Linked DNA regions of Lonchura striata. The protein of the gene in region 1 purifies or fractionates together with the protein of each later gene. This does not show direct contact. Links are inferred from orthologs where the notes say so. Each region holds a gene or a part of one and is shown in the gene's direction. Other genes may lie near its edges.

Region 1 (7,279 bases):
TGTGGAAGGAACCACTCACCCATCACCATTCCAAAATATTCCTGTGTTGAAATAAACCAAAGTACCTTAAAATTAGTTTGGAAAGGTGAGACCAGAAGTAAGGCAGTTAGTGTTATTTTCCATGGACAAGCTCAAGAGTTTAGGATGACCCAGATGACATCAGCATAGGATCTGTGACTTCCTATTTCCTCCTTCCTCTCAAAATCCATCCCCAACTCCCTGACAGCAGAGAACTGTGTTTGTACAGCCTCACTGTTCACCAGACAGACAGATCCAGCCCAGCATCACAGTCCCTGCTAAAAAAAAACCCAATCACTGAAGCTAAAAAGCAAGCAAAACAACCTTCAGGTTTTTAATTTTGTGACTGGCTTGGGCAGTCAAAGATGTAACTTTTCTACAAAGAACAAAATGTTGTTGTTGTATTTCTCCTTTAACTGACACTCAAAAAATTTGTTAATCCCTGTCCTTTGGTGGGGAAAGCCTTGTACTTTATCTCTCTGCAGTTCCCACCGTTTATGCCTGGCTTTTTAAGGGAGCTAAAACCTTTTAAAAGACCTGGAACTGTTTATGCAAAGAAGGTTAAAGGCCTCAAGCCAGTTGACACTAGTCCTTCCAAATATTCTTAAGGCAGGGATATCAGGAAAACAGGTCAAGGAGGCAGGGAATTCTGCAGTTCTTACCAGAGAATCCCACCATCCTTAAATACAGTCAGGAGAGAAACCCCTCCTCTCCTTTGCCTTCCTATATTAATCAAAGGATCAGGGTCCTTTGGATTGTGCAGTCTGAGGAGAAAATCTTTCCTGGCGAGAAGCAAATGCTTCTCCTCTTCACTATTGGCCCAAACATGACATTCAGTTTCACATTTAAATAGGATAAAATAACTCAGCCTACCTGTAGAGAAAAGTTCTACAGATAGTTAGTGCTGGGTCTAGATTGTTGAAAGTGTAATTTTAAAAGGCTTCTGGTAAACTCTGATTGGTTGTTTGTTTTTTTTTTTTTTTTGTTAGTAATATCCTGAATTTGCTTTTCTCTGTGCCAGGACAAAATAACTCTTTAACCACCCAGGGTAATTTTAAGTGCAGATAATAAATATTTCATGTAAAATGCCTATTATCCCATGCAAATACAAAGTGTCAAAATAATAAATCAGTGTGAAGTACTTCTACAAGGGTCATTAACTTCCTTTAGTGATTTCTATTATGCAGAAATTCAGTTGATTACTATCTCATTCCACTAGTTAGAGAAGTTCAGGTGTGGTCAGAGAATTGCATCTACCAGATCGTTACACCCTGGAAGAGTGAAACATAAATGTTCTCGCCAGATACTTTGTATGGAATGGAAAAAAAAAAAAAAACAAACAAGAACAAAAAAAAAAAAAAAAAACCAAAAAAAAACCAAAAAAAAACCCCACAAAAAAAAATCCAAGCCACAGCATTATTTTCCTTCCATATTCTCAAGAATACTGAAGATGTACAAACACATTTTACTTCCTCATAACTTAATTTGCCAGGTGAATGGGGAGTGTTTAATTTTTTTTCAAATGCACAGGAGGTTTTTATTGAACAGGTCCATTTCTTGCCTCTGATCAAAAGGTTACTGCCCATGAATTTTAAAGAAAGTTGTTTTAACGCAATATTAGCATAAGAAGCTTAATAATACAAAGCTAGGAGGGAAATTATCCAAAGTTCTTCTGTGATCCTTAATTTTAGAAACTTAAGGGAAGCTATATTACTGATGCTACCTAACAGCATAAATCTTAATGGCAAAGTGACAAAAGAAAACCAACCCAGAAGATACACAGAAAACCTTGCTCAGTTACCAGGAGAGTTTAGTCACATACATTTGTTAACTCCATCCTTTCTGGATCATTATTGTTGTGGCCGGCCTCCATCCCTCTGCTTCTCTTTATTTTATAGGAAAGGTATTCCTGATTTTCAGCATGTCAGATAGGTGAGATGGTATACAAGCCCCCTTTCATTAAAAGATAAGCTGCAGTCCAACACCACTGGCAATTAAAGCCCTGCTAAGAGTTTTCTTATGGGTAAGAACAGCCAGCCTCCTGTGACACCAGCTGGGGTGACCCATCCACTGAGGTCTAAAGCAGCACTTCCCACCTGCAAACCCTGAATATCATTCCAGGTCTGCAGGAAAAAATGTATGAAGTATAAAAAGAGATGCTGGTGGAAAGAGGAAGTGACTTTTTCACAGGCTTCCCAAGCTATGGAGCAATCTGTGGTGGGGTCAGCAGGAAATGACCAGAGACCTCACAAAGACACAAAGAGTCTGTAACCAGAAATATTTGGAAACCCTATTCTTGCTCATCTGACCATCTCACAGAAGGTCCTGAAGTCAATGACCTCACTAAAGTGGCAAAAAATAGACAGCTCATTTTGAAATATACTTCCATACCATTTTTTTTTCTCAGGGACCTCACATGACATCTTAAGAACCAACAGCTTCAAAGGAACAATATTCAATACTGCAACTTCTACTCAGCAATATTTCCTCCTCCGTTCTCAAAACAGTTAGAAAAAACTGAAGGGAGAAAAGGAAAACCACCAAGAGGAATTTAAGAACTGCATTGGAGTGGGGAGGGTAAGGAATAAGAAAGAAAAATCAATAGAATGAAACACAAATTTCAATCCTACAAGCAGCTATTTTTTAACTAACAGCATAAATTCTTAATGGGAAAGTGTCAAAAGAAAACCAACCCAGAAGTTACACAGAAAACCTTGCTCAGTTTCCAGTTACCATGAGAGTTTAGTCACATGCATTTGTTAACTTCATCCTTTCTGCATCTATATTGTTGTGGCCTCCATCCCTCTGCTTCCCTTTATTTTATAGGAAAGGTATTCCTGATTTGTAACCTGCTCTGGGAAGCAGCTGCCCAAGCCAGCATCTCCCCCTCCGTATTGCCTCTGGAATGTGCTGTATCTTATCCTTTATTTTGGCAACAAAAACTCCAATATGTTTTTATTTGCATTTCAGCATGGCTTTTCTGTTTTTACTGTTCTGTTTGGGTGTTTTTTTGACTCTCAATACCTGATTAATTTCTAATCCCACTGTATGAAATTAAGGTACAAGCCCTCAGTTTTCACCCCTGAGCTAAGAGGCTCAGATGCTGAGTGCAGAACACCCTGTTACGATGAAAGGGAAATTCTTAGTTGAAATTTACCTTGTTTTTTCTCACAACTGGGATGACCTAAGAGCACGTGTGCAACCAGCTACCATGGATCAGTTGGTAGGCTGAAACTTACCCGCCTTATTTTCCTAAAGTGGATGTTTGTAATTTCATACAAAGTTATATTTGAAGACATATTTGAAATATTAAAGGAATTGAACTACGCTGTAAGTTTATCTTGTGTGAGAAAACATCCATTTAAGCTAGATGGATTCATTTTAAACTAAACATCCAGCAGAGGCCACAAAGGTGATGAGGGCTCTGGACCATCTCTGCAGGAGCTGGGCCTGATTATTAAGAGGAGTCAGAAAGGGGATCTCATTAATGCATATAAATAACTCAAAGCAGGTGTCAAGAGGATGGTGCCGGACTCTCTTCTGTGGTGCCCAGCGACAGGACAGGGAGCAATGGCCATAAACTAAAACAAGAAGTTCCACCACAAGACGAGGAAGAGTTTCTTTACGATAAGGGTGGCAGAGCACCGCAACAGGCTGCCTAGGGAGGGCGTGTGGATTCTTTTCTCTCAGGACACATTCCAAACCCACCTGGAAACATTCCTGTGTCGCCTGCTCTGGGTGACGCTGCCTTGGTTGGACTGGGTGACCTACAGAGGTCCCTTCCAGCCCTAAGGGTTCTGAGATCTGTACCAAAAGCAGGCCGGACTGGGGTGGTGGGCTGGATTATACATTAGGAGGAAGTTTTGCACCCAGAGGGCGGCGGTGGGGCACTGAGCGGGCTCTCCAGGGAATGGCCACAACCCCAACCCTGCCAGGGTGGGATCGCAGAGGCGGCGCCGCGCAGGGCCGGCAGCGGGACCCCGACGTTCCCGGGGCTTCCCCTCCATGCCGGGACATTTCCGAGCCCCAAGGCTGGCGGGGCCCGGCCCCGTGTGGCGCTGCCGGAGCCCGCCCGGCCTGGGGCGGAGAGGGGCGGCCGCAGGTGCGGGGCGCGGCCGGGGGCGGCCCCGGGGGCGGGCAGGGGAGTCCCCGAGCGGCCCGGGCAGGGCCGCATTTAAGGAGCGGCGTCGGAGCGCGGCAGCCTGGTGACCGCGCCCGCAGCCGCCACCATGCCCGTCAAAGGAGGCACCAAGTGCATCAAGTACCTGCTCTTCGGCTTCAACTTCATCTTCTGGGTGAGGCGCCCCGGGCTGCGTCCCCCGCGCTGCCCGGCGAGGAGCCCGCGGGACGGGGATGGAGGGGACGCGCCGGGAGCCGCGTTTGGTTTGGTTTTTTGATGCCTGTTTTTTGCTGGTTTCTCCACTTGCTGCCCCCCGCCGGAAGGAGAGGGAGCGGGTGCCGGCGTGCTCACCGCTTTATTTTTCACGTTTTTGGGGTTTTATCGAAAGGCGGGTTGAGGGCGCTGCCAGGCGGGGAGGGGGTGCTGGGTTTGTGCAATTCTGCTCCCACTGTGCATCCCCAGCACTGCACACAATCCTCTCCCTAAAACTGTGCGCAGGTCGGGCTCCCTGCCGGCTTTCCCGGTGCCGGGGCTGAGCCCGAGGTGAGCCGGCTCCTCGCAAGTTGTCGTGTGTGTGAGCTCCTCGTTGTCGGTGGGAGCTGTGGCTTCCCTTCGGGTTTAATCTCCTGGAGCAGACCGGCACCCCTCGAATCGCGTCTCCGGTGTGGTTCCTGGCCGGCGTGAGAAAGCATGGCTGAGCCGAGAGGTTGGAGCTGTCCTCAAGCCCTCGGGGCGTGGGCACCTCGATTTAGCGCTGGCTCCTGCGTGGAAAATTACTGCGGGAGCCGCTCGTATGCCTGACGGATAGGAGCAAAGTGTGTGGCTTCAAAAGCTGCGTCTTCTCTCGGCTGTTGGCCGCGGTGTGGCTGTGATGTGGAGGAATGAAGTTGGAGCTGCGGGAAGAAGCCGCGTCTGGAGTCAGTCGCAGCACTGCCCGTGGGACGAGTGGAAGTTGCCGTGTTAATAATGGGCGAAGTGCTCGGGATGTCTCGATGCCGAAATGGGTTGCAGCAGAGTTGAGAATACACAGCTGGGCTGCAGTTGAGGGAAGCTGTGCAAAACTTGACCCAAAAAAGCATATTTTGCCACCCGGGACTCGCCAGCAGCGCTGTCGCATTTGCAGGGTTAGAGCTGATCAGAAGGAAAAGCCTAATAAAACATTGTCTGAAACTTACATTCAAGTGAGTTTCTAAACCTGTTAAACGAGACTGAAGTACTCGTGGTTTGCCTTGTTTTTGTTTGTTTATTTCAAAGCCGTAGACTTTCTGCAGAGTATTTTATGGGACAAAAATTCTTGTTGTGGCAACGGCATTGCCTCAAAGAAGCTTTTAACCTGAGCTTCACCAGCTTGTCTAGGGACCAGGGCTGAGAATAGGGAGAGAGTTTTTGTTTAGCTCGGGATCTACTTGTCGCTTGGGAGTGTCATGATCATGAAGTGCTCAGGCTTTACTTCTACCTTTAGGGGTGCTCGCGAATACAGAATTGTACTGGTGACGGGGTGGATGGAAGGAGAGTGGTGCTGCTGCCCAGAGGAGCTGCGAGATGATGGCTTTTCAAGTTGGCTTCTTGAGGCTAGCAGTATGCAGCTAGGATGTGGGAAAGAGAAGAGGAAGAAAAAAGGAATTAAAAGGAGATAAATGCATCTTGGTGATCCCAGTAAGTGTCTGGAGGCCCCAAGAGGCAGTGAGATGCAAGCAGCTTGGTTCAGCCAGAGATAAGGGAGTGTTTGACCAGCTGGAGTGATCCTTGGTTTGTGGGGACCACCACATGTCATTGTGGCCTGCTGAAAACAGTTGAAGGGGAGTTTAGGGGGTATGGTGTTAGCAAACCTTGTGTCCTCTATGGAGAAATAAAGTAGCTGTATCTTGGGTTATTCCATATTGAACAGCATAAAAAGAAAGGTGTTGTGGAGCTGCCAGCATTAAAAGGCAAGAACCACCCTAATAAGAAAAAAGGCTGTAATGTTTTATTATGGCTTTGCAGATGTGAAAAATCTGTGAAGTAATGGAAGTGTGTTAACAAAACTTGTTGTGCTCAAGTGCGATTCTGTACCTCTGTTTTTTGAAATAAGTTGCCTCAAAAGGATAGGTCAGGAATTTCAGTGGTCTGCAGCAACCCTGCACAGAAGGCTGTGGGTGCCACGTTAGGTGGAATGTACTTGCTTCCATCAGAGGCTTGAACAAGGGTAAGAGGAAGTAGAAAGTCTCAAACAACTTGGTAAAGGAAGCTATTGAAATAAAAATTGAAACTTTCAAATTTGAAGCTGTATGCAAAGGAAGGAAATAAAGGTTCATAAATGCTGCTAATGTTAGCCAAAGGAAAGCTTTAGGAGTAATTTGCAAAAGCAAACCCAAGTAACATACCCCTTCTCAGACACATGAGGAAAAGAGTTTCTCAGGGAGTTCTTCCAGACAGTAATGGCTCCAGGTATAAAAGTTTTGGGAGTGATGTTCAGCAGGACTTTATTTTACTGGGGAAGATTTTCACAGAGTTCTGTGCCATAACCTGTCTTTGACTCTGAATCCTGCACAGGCTTGAACTGACCTTTTGATGCAAAGGAAGTGAAACAGGAGGAGCAGCAAATGTTTGATTAACAATTCTCCAAGGTCACACAACACTTCAGAACATTTAAGTGAGTTGTGATTAGGTAACTCCCCCTGCCTACCATCCCTTCTCTGAGCTGGAATGCAACGAATTGGAGGCTGGGTTTTTGCTTTAGGGTAGTCTGGAGCACACAGGGAGTAGCACACATGGACTATCTGGAGAGAAGATTCCTTAAAAGCTGGTGTACATGTACAGGAGTGACTAGCTACTGCAAGGGGAAGTCAGACTTCATGAAGATGCTGCCTTAGAGCAGAAGCCTGAATGTTGGAGAAGGCGAGGACTGGTTGGCGTTGGTTCACTTGTTCAATATCTCCTGGAAATCTCAGGCCTCTTGTGCAAACCAGGCAGTCCTGGAGTAAGATCCTGGCAAGAATGAGGTAGATGGGTATTGGAGTGGAGGCAGGGCTGTGGTGAGGTGCAGCTCTGCTATTGCAGAGAGAAGCACTGTGCTGGTCAGTATAGCCCCACCTCATCTGAAGAAGAACAGAGGGTACTGCTGGGGTGCTAGCTGGCACCCGTCGTCCAGGGTGATGGAGG
Region 2 (7,233 bases), on another chromosome or scaffold:
TGTTCAACTGCTAAAGGGGAATGACAGGGGGGCATATATTTTCGATCCAGATATGCTCAGAAACATTTCACAAACCCGAGCGTGGCGCTCATGTCAGCCACAACCGTGATGGGACAGCCCATTGGCTGGAACACGCACTCTGTTCACTGGAGCAAGGCAAAATTTAACAAGAGTTGAGAAGAGGAAATGAAGACGAGTATTGTGCCTGCTTGGAAACACAAAGGGAACCTAGGGGCAGAATGAAACCAAGCAAAGTAGAATTTCACCAGCATGCTGGGGATAAAGTCCCTAGGTCTTGAGAAGAAGTCCTTAAATGAGACGGCACAGCCCTGCACAGATGTGTCCAGGACAATGTTTGTGCTGTGGCTCCCTTTCCCCAGGGTTCTCATGCAAACAGCTTGGAAGCTACTGAGAGCTCTCTTCCTGCCTTAGAGGCTGCTGTGCTGCTGACGGGGCAGTGGAGCATGGCATTACCTGTCTGTCTGCCTACGCCTCTCGTTTGTTGTGGAGAGCTCCTGGCTGCCACATGCCAGGCAATGGCACCAAAAGATTTCTCCCCTGGTTAAGGTTTGCAGCCTGCAATCTGCACTGCATCAAAGGAGCACTTTTGCACCTCTGCCCCTAAGCAGAGTGCTGGGTCCTCATCAAGCAGGTGCTGGGTCCTTCTGCTGTTGAACAGCCCTTCTAAATGTTTTTAGTCTTGAGCTTCGTGTTGGTTGTGGGCCTTGTACACAGACATTTCACCCTGTCCTCTGCAGCTCAGGCAACAAGGTGGGGAGAGCAAAAGTTGTTTATTCATGTTTGCCAAGACAGAAACTGCAAAAGCTAGCAAGTGTATGTTGGGGGAGTGGTGCAAGCAGGGAGTGGTTGAGTGTGGGCTTCTTTAGGATCAGGGTGTGTTCATGTTTCATGAACATGTGCATGCATAATAGTGTGTTTAATGTAACATTCCAATCTTGATCCTTCCCTGAAATTCTGCTGGCTAACCTAGTTACCCCCAAATGAGAGACACTTTCAGCCTATACATTATGCAGAAGTGTAGGTATGAAGAAACGTAAGCAAGCATTTTTACAGCATCATCAATAAATAAATATGTGCTATCTACTCAAATCAACAACATGCTAAACACTGAAAGTCAAATGGGATGCCTTCCTGAGAAACAAACAACTGACCATGTATTTACTCTGCAGCTCATGAATAAACATGGAAAATGCACAAAAACAGAGGAAGATATTTGTCTCAACTTGGAGAAAGCTTCTGGCTCAGACTGGCTCTCATAGCTGAACGATACAAAATGGAATTGGCAAGGGGGAAAAATGACATAATCACATACATGTAACAATCCATTGAAAATAGGACACACAAAAAGGAGAAGAAAACAGGCTTTGAAGGAGAAGGTAGACTAACACAGCGGTCAGCTTCAGACCTGCTCTTTCTGGCATCTGTGCTGGCAATTTACCAGCCTCGGACAAACGGCTCTCAAATTGAATGAGAATCTCAAACACGTGCTTAAATTGCCACCAGTTACAGAATGTATTTTAACACACCCTGCTGCAAGGCCATGTTCTGAGGAGGGAAGAGCATAGTAATGAATGGCAGGATAAATATGCTTTCAGGAAAAACACAGATGCAGAAAGAGATTTGGGGACTCAACACGGGTAATGAACTCCACAGGCTTTTTGTACAGCACAAGAAATGGTCTACTTCCATTTTTAGTTATGAGAGAAGGGGGAAAACAATGGCTGAGAAATTTACTATGTGCACAGCATGTGTGTATAGACCACAATGACACTGTACCCATGTTGGGTGCCTGCAAGTGAAAAAAAACCACTTAGAAACACTGGAGTCCAAAAAATCTGCAGTGACCAAAACTACATCTTACAATGTGAGGCTTCAAAGAAAACAATCTATTTAGTTAAACAAGAAGTGATAGAAGCACCATGTATAGTTGCTTATCCATGAAAATGGGATGGGTGTGCAGTTTTCTAGGCAAAGGCATAACAAGTTCAGATGTCTCAAAGTTGAAGTTAGACAAATTCAACCTTGAAAGAAGCAATTTCCTAGCAGCAAGGATAATTAAACATTGGAATAAATTAGTAGGTGGAAGAAGGCAGTTGCCATTACTTGGAGTCTTTAAGACGTGTTGTATTTCTAACTCACTTTGATCCAGCTGCTGAGGAAAAAATCTATGGCTTTTGTATATGGGTCAGATTAATGGGTTACAGTGACCCTTCACTCTGGAAGTCTGACTATATTTGGGGGGAAAAGTGGTTCTTACTGAAGTAAAAAAGTGAGAGGTGCTTGAGAACACAACCCAGGGCTCAGGATAGCAGGGTTTCAGGACTAAAGCTGCAATCAGGAGTTTAACCAGTGTGGTAGAAGCTGACTGGTAAGGATGAGACATCTAACCTGCTTTCTGAATTTGATGTAGGGGACGTCTTGGTTTATGGAACTGATATTTTCCAGTGAAGAAAAAATGTGCTTAAATGCTGGCTAAAGGAGGAGAGCAGAATGTCTGGAAACAGGCAGCAAGAACAAGCAGGGATATGAGGGCATTTTGGACATATTTGAAAACAGCCTTGTTTTGATGGGGCAGTTTTTTCTCTGTCACATTTGTGGATTCAGCCTCATTTTCTGTCTGGGAGCTGGGAGAACTTCAGTTGTGCACAGGACCAAGTGTTCTCCAGGCAGCTTGTGGCTGTAGCTCTGCAAAGAGGTCAATCTCCTTGCAAGAGCTCAGGTAACTGTGGCTGGAGAGTGAAAATTATCCTCATCAGTTTTAGGAGGGTTTAATTTCATTCATATCAGGCAACACGCTCTTTCCCGTAAAGTGTAACGGAAGGAATAACAAAGTCCAGCCTAAAATCCAGCTTGATAATCATCAAGCTCAGTCAAGAACACAGCACACACTTCCTGAACCCCGCCCAAACTGAGTGCAAGGTGTATATGCTCAAGTGCAAGGTGCACTGGAGATGCTAGAATAAAACCTAAACCAGCCATTTTGTGCAGGAACAGCTGCCCCAAACCATTCATAGGCTCCAGAGATCCCCCACAGGAAAATGTGGATCCCTCTCTACCATAGAGCCTGGATAACAGACAGCAAGATGTGCCCAAGGAGAGCACAGATTTCACAGAGAACGTGGCAAGGGGACTGAAAGAGCAGATAACTGTCTGAATTACTAGAGAGACGCCCAGTGCCTCTGCTCTTTGTTTTTACAAACAAACAGGAAATTAAATCCCCAAGCAAACAAAAATCTCTGAGCAGGCTGAGAAGGAAGCAAGGGGGAGTTGATGGCACGAATGCCATGCTGTAGCAGCCCCTTATTGAGTAAACTGGGATCTCAGGCAGGGGGAAAGAAACTGAGTCTCAAAAAAGAGCAATGCTTCTTGTTGGGCTGCCTGGCATCAGTGGGGAGGGAGCGGTGGTCTTGTCCACGAAGTGCCTGGGGCACAGACACACTTGAGAGTGTGTGTGCTCTCCTGCTCTAACCCAGGCCATGAGCAGGGCAGCATCGCCGTGATGCCCGTGGAAGGGCAGGGGACACGATGGGCACAGCCGGCACTGGCTTTTGAGGCTACACAGGCATGGAAGGGGGCAGGAGTGTCCCCCGTCCCTGGGGCGGTCCGCAGCACAGCAGGCAGCCCCGGCTGGGGCTGCGCTTGGGGCCAGGGCCAGCAGTGACGCCACCCGTGTGCGGTGCCCCGTGCGCAGGGATGTGAGGAGAGGGGGCACGGGGGGCACAGCGGAGCGGGCACGAGGGGACCCCAGCCCCGGAGGCGGGGCCGGACGGGCAGGAACGAGTGGCCGAGCAGTGCCCCGGCCCCGCGCTGCCCGCGGCCGCCGCCGAGGGTCCCGGGGACGCTCCGGCCGCCGAGCCCGCCCTCCCCGCACGGGGCTTTCCCCAGCCACGTGTGCGCGGCGGCGGCCCGGCAGGGAAGAAGGGAGGGAGGCACGGAGGGCAGCGCCGTGCCCCGCGGGGCCCCGCTCGCCGAGGCGCTGCCCCGGGCCCGCTCTCCTCCCTCGCTCTCCCGCCTGAGGGGAAGGGGCCGGGCCGGGCCGGAGCCGCGCCGCCCCCGCTACCTGCGGGCGGGGCGGGCCCTGGGAAAGTTTGTCTCTGTGGTTGGCTGCGCCGCGCGGCGCGGCCGGTCGGGGCGGGCGGGCGGCTCCGTGCGCTCGCAGGGCAGCGAGCGGCCGGCCGAGGAGCGCTGCCGCCGCCGGCGCCCCCGGGCCAGCCCAGCCTGCGCGCCCGCGGTCCCGCTCGCCGAGGGAGAGGCGCCGCGCAGCCCTGCCAGCATGGGGCACCGCGGGGAGAGGCCGTCCTGCCTGCCTCTCCTCCTCGTCGTCCTGCTGCTGCTCGGTGAGCCGGGGTGCGCGGCGGGGAGGGCGGGGGGTGCTCAGCCACCTTGCCCGCAGGTAGCGCGGCGGGGCCGGCAGGAGCCGCCCGCCGGGCCGTGCCCGCCCGGGGCGCGGCGGAGCCCGGCCAGGCGCTGCCCCCGGCGGGGCCGGGCTGTGCCCGCCGGGCTGTGCCGGCCCCTGGCCCGGTCCCCGCTGCTCCCTGCGGGGGATCGCCGCCGGGAATTTCACCGAAACTTTAGGGGGCCTCCCCGGAGCGGGGTGGGTCGCGGGTGCTGCTCGGGGCTCCCCGCTGAGAGGGCTCCCGCCGGCTCCGGGGTCCCGCGGCGCCCCGGCCGCGGAACGTGGCGGCGGAGCCGTAGTCGCTGGTGAAGGAGCCGGTGCGTGGGCTGTGGTCGCGGTGAGGTGAGAGCGCTCCTTCGCTCCGAGACCTCACCTGGCGGAGGTAAAGCCGCTCCTTCGGGCGGGGACCCCCCTGCCTGTCCCCCGGGGGGCTGCGGGAGGGGCCCCGCACCCCGCTCGGGTTCTCCGGGCGCACGGGGTGCGGTGGAAGCGGCGCTTCCCCTGCGCCCTCCCCGCCGGGCTCCCGGGGTTTGCTGCCTCTGCCGGGAAGTTCTCCCGCTAGGAGATAGCGTGTAATTGTGTAGGTGATGGTTTACGCTGCGTTCAGGTAATTGTGTAGCTGTCGTTAGTGTGACATGTGGCATTGTTCCTTACTGGTGTCAGTGCCAGCCAGGCAGCGTGCAGGAATAAAGACGAGCAAGCTCTACAGAAAAGGGTGGGTGTTGTGTTGTCGTGGGATTTTTTTTTCCTTTTCTTTTTTCTTTTCTTCCTTCCCCCCCCCCCCCCCCCCCAACATTGTACTTGTAGCGTTGTTGCTAGCCCTGTTACAGAAGTAGCAGTGAATGTAAAGCAGAGAACGAGAAGACTGTTCGCATTAGATAGCTCTGTCTAGTAGTGTTTGACTGGCTTTGTGTCAGCTCTGGGCAGCAAGAAGGACATGAGCTGAGCAAGCGTGTCCCACAAGTCACTCCGCGTAGCTCAAGATTCAGAACACTTGATTAATTGCAGGTAGTAAGTGGGAGCCTTTTCCAGATTTCGGGTGGAAGGAGTAGCTAAACAGTGCCCCAGCCCCACACTGCCACCACTCTTCTTTAAACAAAACTCTGTTCACTGGCTTAGTTTGTGCTTGTACTTTTGACTTTGCTGTGACTTTTTTTTTTCCTTAAGTCTGCCAGAGCACTTTCCTCATTGTTTGGATGTTGAATCTTTCATAGCCAGGTCTGCAGAGCTGAGAGTTGCTGTTGAAAAGTCAGCTTCCTAAACCTGGTCTTGTCCCAGTCTTTTTCCTGAGGCTGCTTGCAGGCTATTGGGGCAGAGGGTGTTCTGTCTAGAAGATCCTACCAGACAAAAGTGTCCACTGTGCTTTCTCTTACTTGCAGCTGACGTTAGTCATCTCGTTTATCTTTACAATATAGGCATGCTGCCAGCTGGGGAAACAGTCATGAGCTGGAGAGCTCACCTTCAGTATTTTTGTTTAGAAACAGAAACGGGATAAGATTTTTCAAGAGGATGGTTTAATAGGACAAGCGGAAAATCAAGACTCTCAGATGCTCAAGGTCATGCAGCAAAAAGTAAAAACTATTAAGGGTGACGCACAACGAGAAAGTTGTTTCCTTCTTAATTCAAGATAAAATCATTAGAAGAACTTAAAAGTATGCATGCAGAGATATATGGCCATTGTTCATGATCTGGTTTGTCTAGATGTTCTGAGTTGTCTCTTGGGGATTTTTTCTTTTTTTGGTTATTGGAATGATGCTTTTAAAATTGCAAGTGTTTTTGTGTGCAGACAAATCTCTGAACTGTAGTCTTATTTGTAGTGCGTGTTGTAGAGTGCCTATCTTCTGATACCATTACTTGGTCACTTCTGTGAAATATTCCAAAGGTTAAGAGGTTTGGAAAGTAGCCATTCTCTCACTCTGGGTGGGAGAAGTACGCTTCTGTGAACCATTTCTAGCAGCTCTTTAATGGAGAGATGGGTTGGAGCTTTTGCTGCAAGTATTGAGGAATTCTAGTGTAAGGGAGGTGGAGGGAAGGAGCTGAAGCATACACAAGTTTATCCCTTGTGAGTACTTAGACTTGACTGTTTTCTTCAGGTATTTACAAAATAATCCAGTAAAAGGATGCAAATGGCTGAAGTATTTGGCTGTGACGAATGAGAATGTTTTATCATCCTTTCTTTTTGATCCAGTACAGTTATAATCTGTTTGGTAAGGAGATTGTGGGATCCTGATACTAAAGCTTGATCTAGTCTCTCTTCTCTCCTCTGGTGTGGTTAGATCCTGAGAAAGGAGGGCATTTTGCTCTGTCTGTTTCATGTGTGATTTCACTCTGCAGCCAATCTACCTAATATCAACCTGTGAAATGCTCTGGAAACCAAACCATCTCTCCTAGGACAAGAACCAAGCCAAAAACCAAAACAAATATCTGATTGTTACCAGGGCTCAGACAGTAAAGTAAACAATAAGCATTCCACCTCCAGGATTTTTTTCCTGGTTCTTGTTTGAGGTTCGAGGTAATAATTTCAGTGGATCTGGAAAAAAATGTTTTTGTTAAAATGCTATGGGGCATTTTAAGTGAGGAGAGCATGTACTCAGTAGATCCTGGGGGAAAACCACTGATAATGGGTTTCCCAGAGATGGCCTTTTTCTTACTCACCTTTTAGACCTGTGTGGCACTCAGTGTCTGCTATGATGAAAGTCAGTTCCAGCATGCCAGAACCCCAGGAGCTGTGTGTTTAGATGAATGGAGTTGTTTCCTGCATCTCGTGTCTGAAATTATTTTTGTTTCTTTTCCTAAGAAGCTGCAACAATTAGTCA
Region 3 (7,752 bases), on another chromosome or scaffold:
CCCCCATGGAAGCTAACAGCCAGCTGGCTGGCCTCACAGCTGGGTCTGCTCCAGGCCTGATGGGAGGACAGGTGTAACAAGTGTGGAAATGACCAAGCAGCTGTTTCCACTAGTTTGCTGCCAGAGGCACTTGGGCTCTCAGCTGTGCTGTTACAGTAAGCTAGATCATGACCTAGAGACCAGAGTCCTTGAGTGACTGGAGCTCCTGATCTTGTGCCTTGCAGGTTCTGTCCCAGGGCCATGTCCTGTCCAGCATCAGCACCCAGTGCAGTCCTTGGAGGTAAGTGCTATCAAAGTTGTGTGGAATTGTGTTCTGGGTGATGGCCAAAGGCTCTTTAGTCAGGTCTCTGTGAGCTAGGAGAGTGAAAGTGTCCTGAACAATAACCCTTTCTGTCTCTTGATGGGGTTAAAATATGTCCTGTGAAGGTTTGTCTTGCTTTCAAAATTCCTGGGGAAAATCTCCAGGGAGGGCCTGTGAATAACTTGCTTGTAAACCTTCTCTCTTCCCTCCCTGCCAACACCTACCCAAGAAATACCTTGTTTATCTTTCAGATCTCCTCTGCTTCCTTATACGCCATTGTTGGCTGCTTTGGTGCAAATTAACTAATTTAAGATGCACATTGAGGGAGAGTTGGCTAGAACTACACAAAAGTTTGCATCTGGTATCAGGTTATGTCTCTCTACACTGGTGAAAATTTCTCCAAGAGAGGCAAGGTTTCATGTGCAGGACATATGGCAGATCAAGAAAAGCATGAATGGTACGAATGGGTCTGAGATGCAGTCAGTGATACAAATTTCAGCTGTGGTAATGTAAGAGCTTTGGGGATATAAATGTCTCTGAGAAAACCACAGAATGGGGCTGCAAAGGTGCCTGTGATGTGTATAATGATGTTTCAGCTTCATCTTGCCTTATGGTGGGGCAAATCTTACACAGTGGTGTATGTTACTAGTGAATTAAAACACAGGCATACATTCAAAATCGCTGCAACTTTATGCTTTAGTTTTAAGTAATTTTGAAGGTGTATCTTTAATTCCTTCCATAGAAATACAAACTATGGCTGCTTGATTCCCATTTGTCACCAATGTTCCTCTGATCTCTGCACAGCTACGCTCATTAAGTGCCTCCTTGTATGTTTACATAGATGTTTACTCTCCAAACAGTTCTCGTCATTCTAAAACTACTTAAGGAATGTACCTGACAACTTGGGTGGAAAAACATTCTCTAGATGTAAAAGACTGAAAGAAGTGCTTCAGTGTTCTTTGGTGAACACTGGTCTCAGTGTTCACCAAAATTCCATGTCTGGACTGAAATATTTCTTTTGACTCATATTTTTATTTGTGTAATACTACATCTAACAACATAAAATATTTTAACATTACAAGCAAGTAAAGGATGGCAGAATGTCATCTTGTTGTTTTAGACATCAAAGAGAAAAAACCAAAGTTATAGGAAAGTAGTAACATCTTCATTTGGAACTGTTGCTTAAATAGAGCAATTAGTAAAAAACCTGCATTTTGGTTACCTTTCTGAAAAAATAGTAAAGAGAGAGAGACGGAGACATTCCTCATCCAGTTATAAATGACATAAATACAATCAGTGTTATGTCTGTGTAAGTGAGAATACCAAGTGTGTAAATATAACTATGTTCATGCTCTGGATTTAGATTGTTTAAAGCAAAACATTTTGCTTACATGGTATTGAGCAATTTATTTCAATCACCATTTGAAGCCCCTTTATCTCCCATGCTGCTGTTTGCGATTTCTAATGATTGTTAGGGAACTAAGAACAGCTATGAGGATATACTGGCAAAGATAGTCTGATAACCTGGCTGCATAAAAATGCAGGTGTTTCTTGTAGCTGTTAAGAGGGGTCTGTTGAATAAATGTATATAATTTTTCTAGAATGTGCAGTTCTAGAAATGGTATGGATATTGTGTTCAAGAGAAAACATCCAACCATTCAGGCTACTAACACTTAAACCTAGTTTATATTTCTGAATTGAAACAATGCTGTATCTTTGGAACTTTTATAGTAAACCAAACTTTTTGGTGATATCATTTTTTTTCATCCGGAATTACATAAATTAAGAAATCAAGCAGTTTTTAAAAGGAAATGGGATGGGGATGTTTACATATTTTGTCTTTTCAGGACCATTTGATGTGCTGCATTAAAGCTGCACAGCTGAACATCCACAAACTGTGTATTTCTTTGTGCAGTATATTGTTGATACAAAGGATAGAATTTCAGAAATGTAAAACATTGTGCCTTGCCTTCCTTCTAGGGAAACCCTTCAAATGTCTTGCCAAGCTCTAGCTTCTGCATTCCACCTCTTTTATTTTCCAGAAATGATTTTTTTTTTTTACTTTGTAATTAGCTACGCAGTTGTACAGAGGAGGAAAGTATTGCTGGCAGTAATGCATGTGTCTACACATTGAGGCTTGCTCATTGTGTAGACACAACATGCAAACATCTTGTAGCCCTTCAGCCGACTATCAACACACCATTAATAAGCAGACAGCTTGAAAACTCAGCAATAGCACAGTGTTTGTTACAAAAAAGAGAAACTGCTTTGATCTGGCCACTGCATTTGTTAGAATCGCTGCGTTATTATGCATAACAGAGTGCTCATGTTTAATTGGTCATCATACCTAATCTTCGTATGGTCCCCCTTTATACCAGGATTGTAGAGAAGAGGAGTTCCTGAAGTATGTGTTAGCTACAGATAACTCACAGTATGTTTATTTTGGAGGAAGAGCAAAGGAAGGAAACTGACATATTTGTAAAACCTTTCCCCCCCCCCCCTCTCTCCTCATCTAGAGCAAATGAAAATAGTACGGAATTATGAGAGACCATCCAAGGTAATTCTAAGCTGTTCATGTGCAGTTTTGCTCCACCCTGTATACACTCTATTTTTGTTGTTCTTGCTGTGGTCCCTTGAGACAGGTGTTAATGTTACTGTGTCTTGGAATGCTTGTTACTGCATCTGGAGATGAGAAAATTCTGTCTCCCCTCAGCAATCTTTGTGGATATGAACAAACAAGTACAACATGCTCAGGCAGTGCTGGTTAGAGGGAGGGGGAGAAGTAAAATAAAACTAATGTGCCAGTATCATTCAGGAAGCTCTGGATGAAAGTACTTCTGTGACTTCTTGCAAGTTACTGAGTACAAGCATTACTTAAAAATTAACTATAGTTACTATAAGAGTATTAGAAGCACACAAGTTTTGATTGTCCCAAAACAGCTAAAACTTTGGTACAGATATCAACACTGTTTTAAAGGACTTGTTTTCAAATCTTTACTAATTACTGTGAAATACGTAGATGATAGTAAAACAGCCTGTAATTAGTCTGGGACCCTGCCCTCTTACAGGTCCTTAAGTGAAACTAAGGCAGTATTTATGCCAGTACAATTTTCTGCTGTGGCAGTGATTGAACACTGGATTAAGACTTTGAAGGAGTTGGGCATGGAGGAGCAAGCAGGGAAGGACTCTATTAGTAATAAATATCTGGGAGCTTAATTTAACAAAATGTTTTGTTTCCACATTAGAAACACAATTCTGGTGCATTTTCTTCCCCTCTTTTGATCAAGGGTGTTTTGGACTTGAGCCAGACTTGTCTATACATGGAGGTATCCTAGAATAATTACTCTGGAAAAAGTACTTTGGATTAACTCTGTGGGAGTATTGTTTCAGAAGGAGTTATTTGGAGTATCAACAGATTTGAGTGCTCTGTCTCTATTGCCCTTTTCTCAGTTTCTCTGGAATCTTAGCTTCTTCTCTCTTTGTACTCTAGATACCAGTAGAAAAGAACAATTGAGTATTGTCATGCTGCTAAGAATTTGTGAGGTTTTAAAAACTTGCATCTGCTTTCCTAAACCAGAGCACTAAACCAAGATTCTGTTCAAAAACTAAAACCTCTCTGTTTCTCTGGAGTGGGTTAAGTTGATAAGGTATGCTGGCAAATAAGCTTTTGGAGTTATGGGTGAAAGCATGAGAAAATGACCTGGGATCCAAACCAACATACTGTTTTTGAACAATTAAAAGGTAGGAATAAAAAATTTTCAGATATGTTCAGAGACAGGAAATGCTGGAGGAGGAGATTCAGGTAGTCTTCAGTTTCTGTTTTCATGTGGTCTGTGAATAGTCTGGTAAAAGAGAGATTTTATTTTTTTCCCAGTCCTTTTTTTTTTTAGTTCTTCTCTTGCACGTATGAAGGAATTTGGGGAATACAGACTCAATACTGGGATCATACTGTCCATAGTTCTGTACCAACCTTAGCACATTTGGGCAATGTTATGCCCATGGTCGGTACCCGGACCGACCTGACGGCGCTGAGCAGCAGCCAGACCGGTATCAGCCCCCCAGGGGGGCATGGTTTGATGGCTCAAACACATCTCCCCCCGCCGTGGGAGCTCTCTGCCCTTTTCCCCAACGGTGCACGGGGGCTACGGCCCGCTCCTCACCTGCGGCCGTGACTCGCCCCTCGGTAAGGCTTTATTTCGTGTCGCGAAGCGCAAAGCCATCCGAGCCCGCGGCCGCGGCAGACGGTGAGCCCCCTGGGGGCCCCGGGAGGTGATGGGCGAGTCACGGGCGGGGCGACGCCCTCGGCTGCCCCTCCCAGGGGAAGGGGCCCGGCCCCGGGGACATTTTGTGCTGTGCCGGGGGCCGGGCAGCCGCGGAGGGCGGGGCGGGGCGGGGCGGGCCCCGCGCGGAGCCGGCGGGGCACAACGGGCGCGCTCGGCGCGGGGAGCGGCGACGGCGCTGGCGGCAGGTTCCCGTGCCGGGCAAGAGCAGATGGCGGCCCTGCTTCTCCTCTACCTGCCCCTCCTGCCGGGGCTGGCCGGCGCCTTCAACCTGGACACGGACAACGTGATCAGCTGGAGCGGGGAGACGGGCAGCCTCTTCGGCTTCTCCCTGGCCATGCACCGGCAGCTGCAGCCGCAGGAGAAACGGCTGTAAGTGCACCTCGCCCCGCCCGGCCCCGTCCCGGGCCGCCTGCGGGGACCCTCCTACCTTCCACCGCCGGGAAACTTCCCCTGGCGGCGGGCCGGGGTCGCCAGCCCCCGCGAGGTGTCCGGCCGGCGGCGGGAGCGGGGCCGGGCCGCCGGCGGCCCTCCGAGGGATGGGCAGCACCTGCCGCGGGGCGCTGCGGAGCCGGGGCAGCGCCGAGCGGCGGGGACGTGCGGCGGGGCGAGGGGCCGGCCCCGCGCCCGGGGACCTGCGCGGAGCCGAGGCTGGAAAGGGGAAGCGAGCGGCAGCCGCCGCTGGGAGCCCTTCCCGCCGCGGCGCTCTCCTGCGCGGGCCGCGCCGGTCTGCGCCGCCGGAGCCTCCCCAGCGCTCGGGTCTGTGCTCCGCGGCATACCCGGCCTCAGGTAACTCCGGGTCTGCTGTTCGACACAGACCCTGCCCGGGAATGCAGATGAGAGGTGATACAAAGAAGTTAGGAAAAATAAGTCGGGGCTAGTGATGTATGCATGAAACTTCTTTTGGGAAATTACGAAGGCAAAATAAGGCTCCTGTGTACATCGTCAGCATCCTTGCTGCTTTGTGTCCATAGCGGAGCAGTGGTGGACCCCACCCTATCCAGTAGTGCTGGATAGCGTGTGAGTGTAAAGTATTATTGTTAAATAAATGCCTCCTCCTCAAATATTTAGTTTTAATTCAAGGCCAGATACATTCATTATCCATATAGAGTTTACGAAATGAGGAAGCTGGAAAGATATAATATTCTTCATAAAGTTAGGTGGTAAATTGAAAAATCCTGTGGGCTCATTTTGCTCACACTTGCGCTCCTGTGTGATTTCATAAAAATTACAGTGTGTAGAGGAGTATAAGTCACATACACGCATGTTTCATCTTCCACCTAGCAGATAAAATGACCCATAGTATCCTGAGGAATGAAATGCAAATCTATGAGCTCCTTTCCAGAGGCCTTTATCTTAATTCTTGACAGGATTACGCTTGCATAAGTCTACTTTTAGAGTAGACTCTTTTAGTACGACCAAGAAAGCAATGCCTGAAGCTTGTTAGTCTCCTGTTGTATTGTCGGTCCTGGCAGAATGAGTGTGTAGGAATATGCAGACAGCCAATTACTGAGAAGAAAAAAGCAGCAGAAACACAAGGACAGTCACAGTATTCAAGCTGGTATGTACTATTTGGCTGAAATGCTTCAGAGATTATTGGCATGAAAGTTCTGTATTGTATGTCTAGTAAGTGCTTCCTCAGGCAGTCAAAGAGCAGAGCCAGATGCTATCTGCCTTGACATGGCTTTCTGAATCCAGGCTTTCATGAGAAGCAAGGATCTCTATTAGAGACAAAACCAGGCTAGACAAACTGCGTTTTATGGTGACATGTGCTTCTGAGTATGAGGTGTCTTGGCCATTTTTCAAATCCATGAGTTTTAGCATAAATAATTGGAAAGCTACCCTGGGTAGCTGCTGGGTAGTATGCTTGGAATGAAACCTTTTATGTCAAACAGGCATGTTGTAGTCACTTTGAACATAATTTTTGTGTCTGTAAGAGTTGTAGTATGTGGCTTTATGAGAACAAGACATTAAATATGCTGAACTGTAGCTGTCTTAGGGACTGAGCTGTGTTTAGCTCACTTTGAGTTCTGCCTTCTGAAGAAGGAGGTTTGGTGGGGAGTGTTAAAGAGAAGCCTTCCATGTTAGGCTGCATTTTTATATCAGATAAAAATGAACTAGGATGAGCTAATACCAAAGGATTTGTGTGGTCTTTTCCATGGATTGATGGATTCTTCATAGCTGGAACAAATGGTATCTGCTGTCTGGATACTTGGGGAAGGTAGAAAGTTATGGGAACAGGAGGTCACACTGAGGTCTACTGCTGAGAAACAGTTATTTCTAATGCCTTCATGCTGCCTGTTACTTAACAGCAGGACTCAGGGGTGCAATACCTCTGCATTCCCAGGTGCGTTTGGGTCTGTCTTACCTATGCTGCAAAAGTGAATTTATATACAGCTATCTCTTAGTCAGATAGAAGTATCTGTTTTACCCTTTCTTCTTGAATAGATGCTAATTTCAAAATACAGTTACATTTAGAGTGTGAATACTGTTAAGTAGTTGCCAAAAATACAAAAACTCCCAATTCATACTGAAGCATAATTAAGAGTGATACTTGGAATCTCATCTGGCAGGGACCCTTATTTCAAAGAAACCTGTCAGTTTGAGCACCTTTCTGTCCCTCAAGTTTTACAAAATTAGGTTGTCATTAAGCATGTGCAGGATTAGTCCATCTTTGGAAAAACAAGAAAATGAGAGAAAGTAAAATACACTGATTGTATTCAGGGGCTAATGGCTTGGTAAAACAAATTAAATTATGTGTAATTTTCCTCTTACCTCACTTACGCATTTGTTAAGTGAAATGGTTCCCTCTTCCTCACACAGGAGTGTTCAGTGTGATTTAATCATTGCAATAATCCTCTGTAAAGATGCGGGTGGAGAATGTCTGGGAGGTGTGACAAAGGTACAGCTGAAATAGCCTTTGATTAAACATGGTATTTGCTTTTGACCATCTTTTTTGCTTAGTCACAGAATGTTATGGATTTCATATTAGCTTTGAATGGCAAATTAGTTTATTAGTGTTAGCTACAAATGCCATGTTTTCTAATTGCTTAACTTTCACCATTATGAAGAGATGACTGTTCAATTGCTTTGACATTAGTTGTAAACGGTGCTGAGTATAAAGCTATGGACTAATAACAAGATTTTGATTTTAAGTATCTTCAAATTAGA

Evidence for each region.
Region 2: the proteins of CD9 (region 1) and PTGFRN purify together in Homo sapiens (co-immunoprecipitation; 8 studies listed by BioGRID and IntAct, with this or other methods). This does not show direct contact. The link is inferred for Lonchura striata from reciprocal best matches to the Homo sapiens genes CD9 and PTGFRN.
Region 3: the proteins of CD9 (region 1) and ITGA6 purify together in Homo sapiens (co-immunoprecipitation; 3 studies listed by BioGRID and IntAct, with this or other methods). This does not show direct contact. The link is inferred for Lonchura striata from reciprocal best matches to the Homo sapiens genes CD9 and ITGA6.

What each region holds. Positions count from the first base shown.
Region 1 is NC_134607.1:3,688,747-3,696,025, reverse strand, and holds the start of CD9 (CD9 antigen), read left to right. Parts: upstream 1-4,181; 5' UTR 4,182-4,247; coding exon 4,248-4,313; intron 4,314-7,279. UniProt on the Homo sapiens protein: Integral membrane protein associated with integrins, which regulates different processes, such as sperm-egg fusion, platelet activation and aggregation, and cell adhesion.
Region 2 is NC_134604.1:14,647,432-14,654,664, reverse strand, and holds the start of PTGFRN (prostaglandin F2 receptor negative regulator), read left to right. Parts: upstream 1-4,214; 5' UTR 4,215-4,294; coding exon 4,295-4,358; intron 4,359-7,233. UniProt on the Homo sapiens protein: Inhibits the binding of prostaglandin F2-alpha (PGF2-alpha) to its specific FP receptor, by decreasing the receptor number rather than the affinity constant. Functional coupling with the prostaglandin F2-alpha receptor seems to occur.
Region 3 is NC_134610.1:20,603,679-20,611,430, forward strand, and holds the start of ITGA6 (integrin alpha-6), read left to right. Parts: upstream 1-4,697; 5' UTR 4,698-4,792; coding exon 4,793-4,953; intron 4,954-7,752. UniProt on the Homo sapiens protein: Integrin alpha-6/beta-1 (ITGA6:ITGB1) is a receptor for laminin on platelets. Integrin alpha-6/beta-1 (ITGA6:ITGB1) is present in oocytes and is involved in sperm-egg fusion.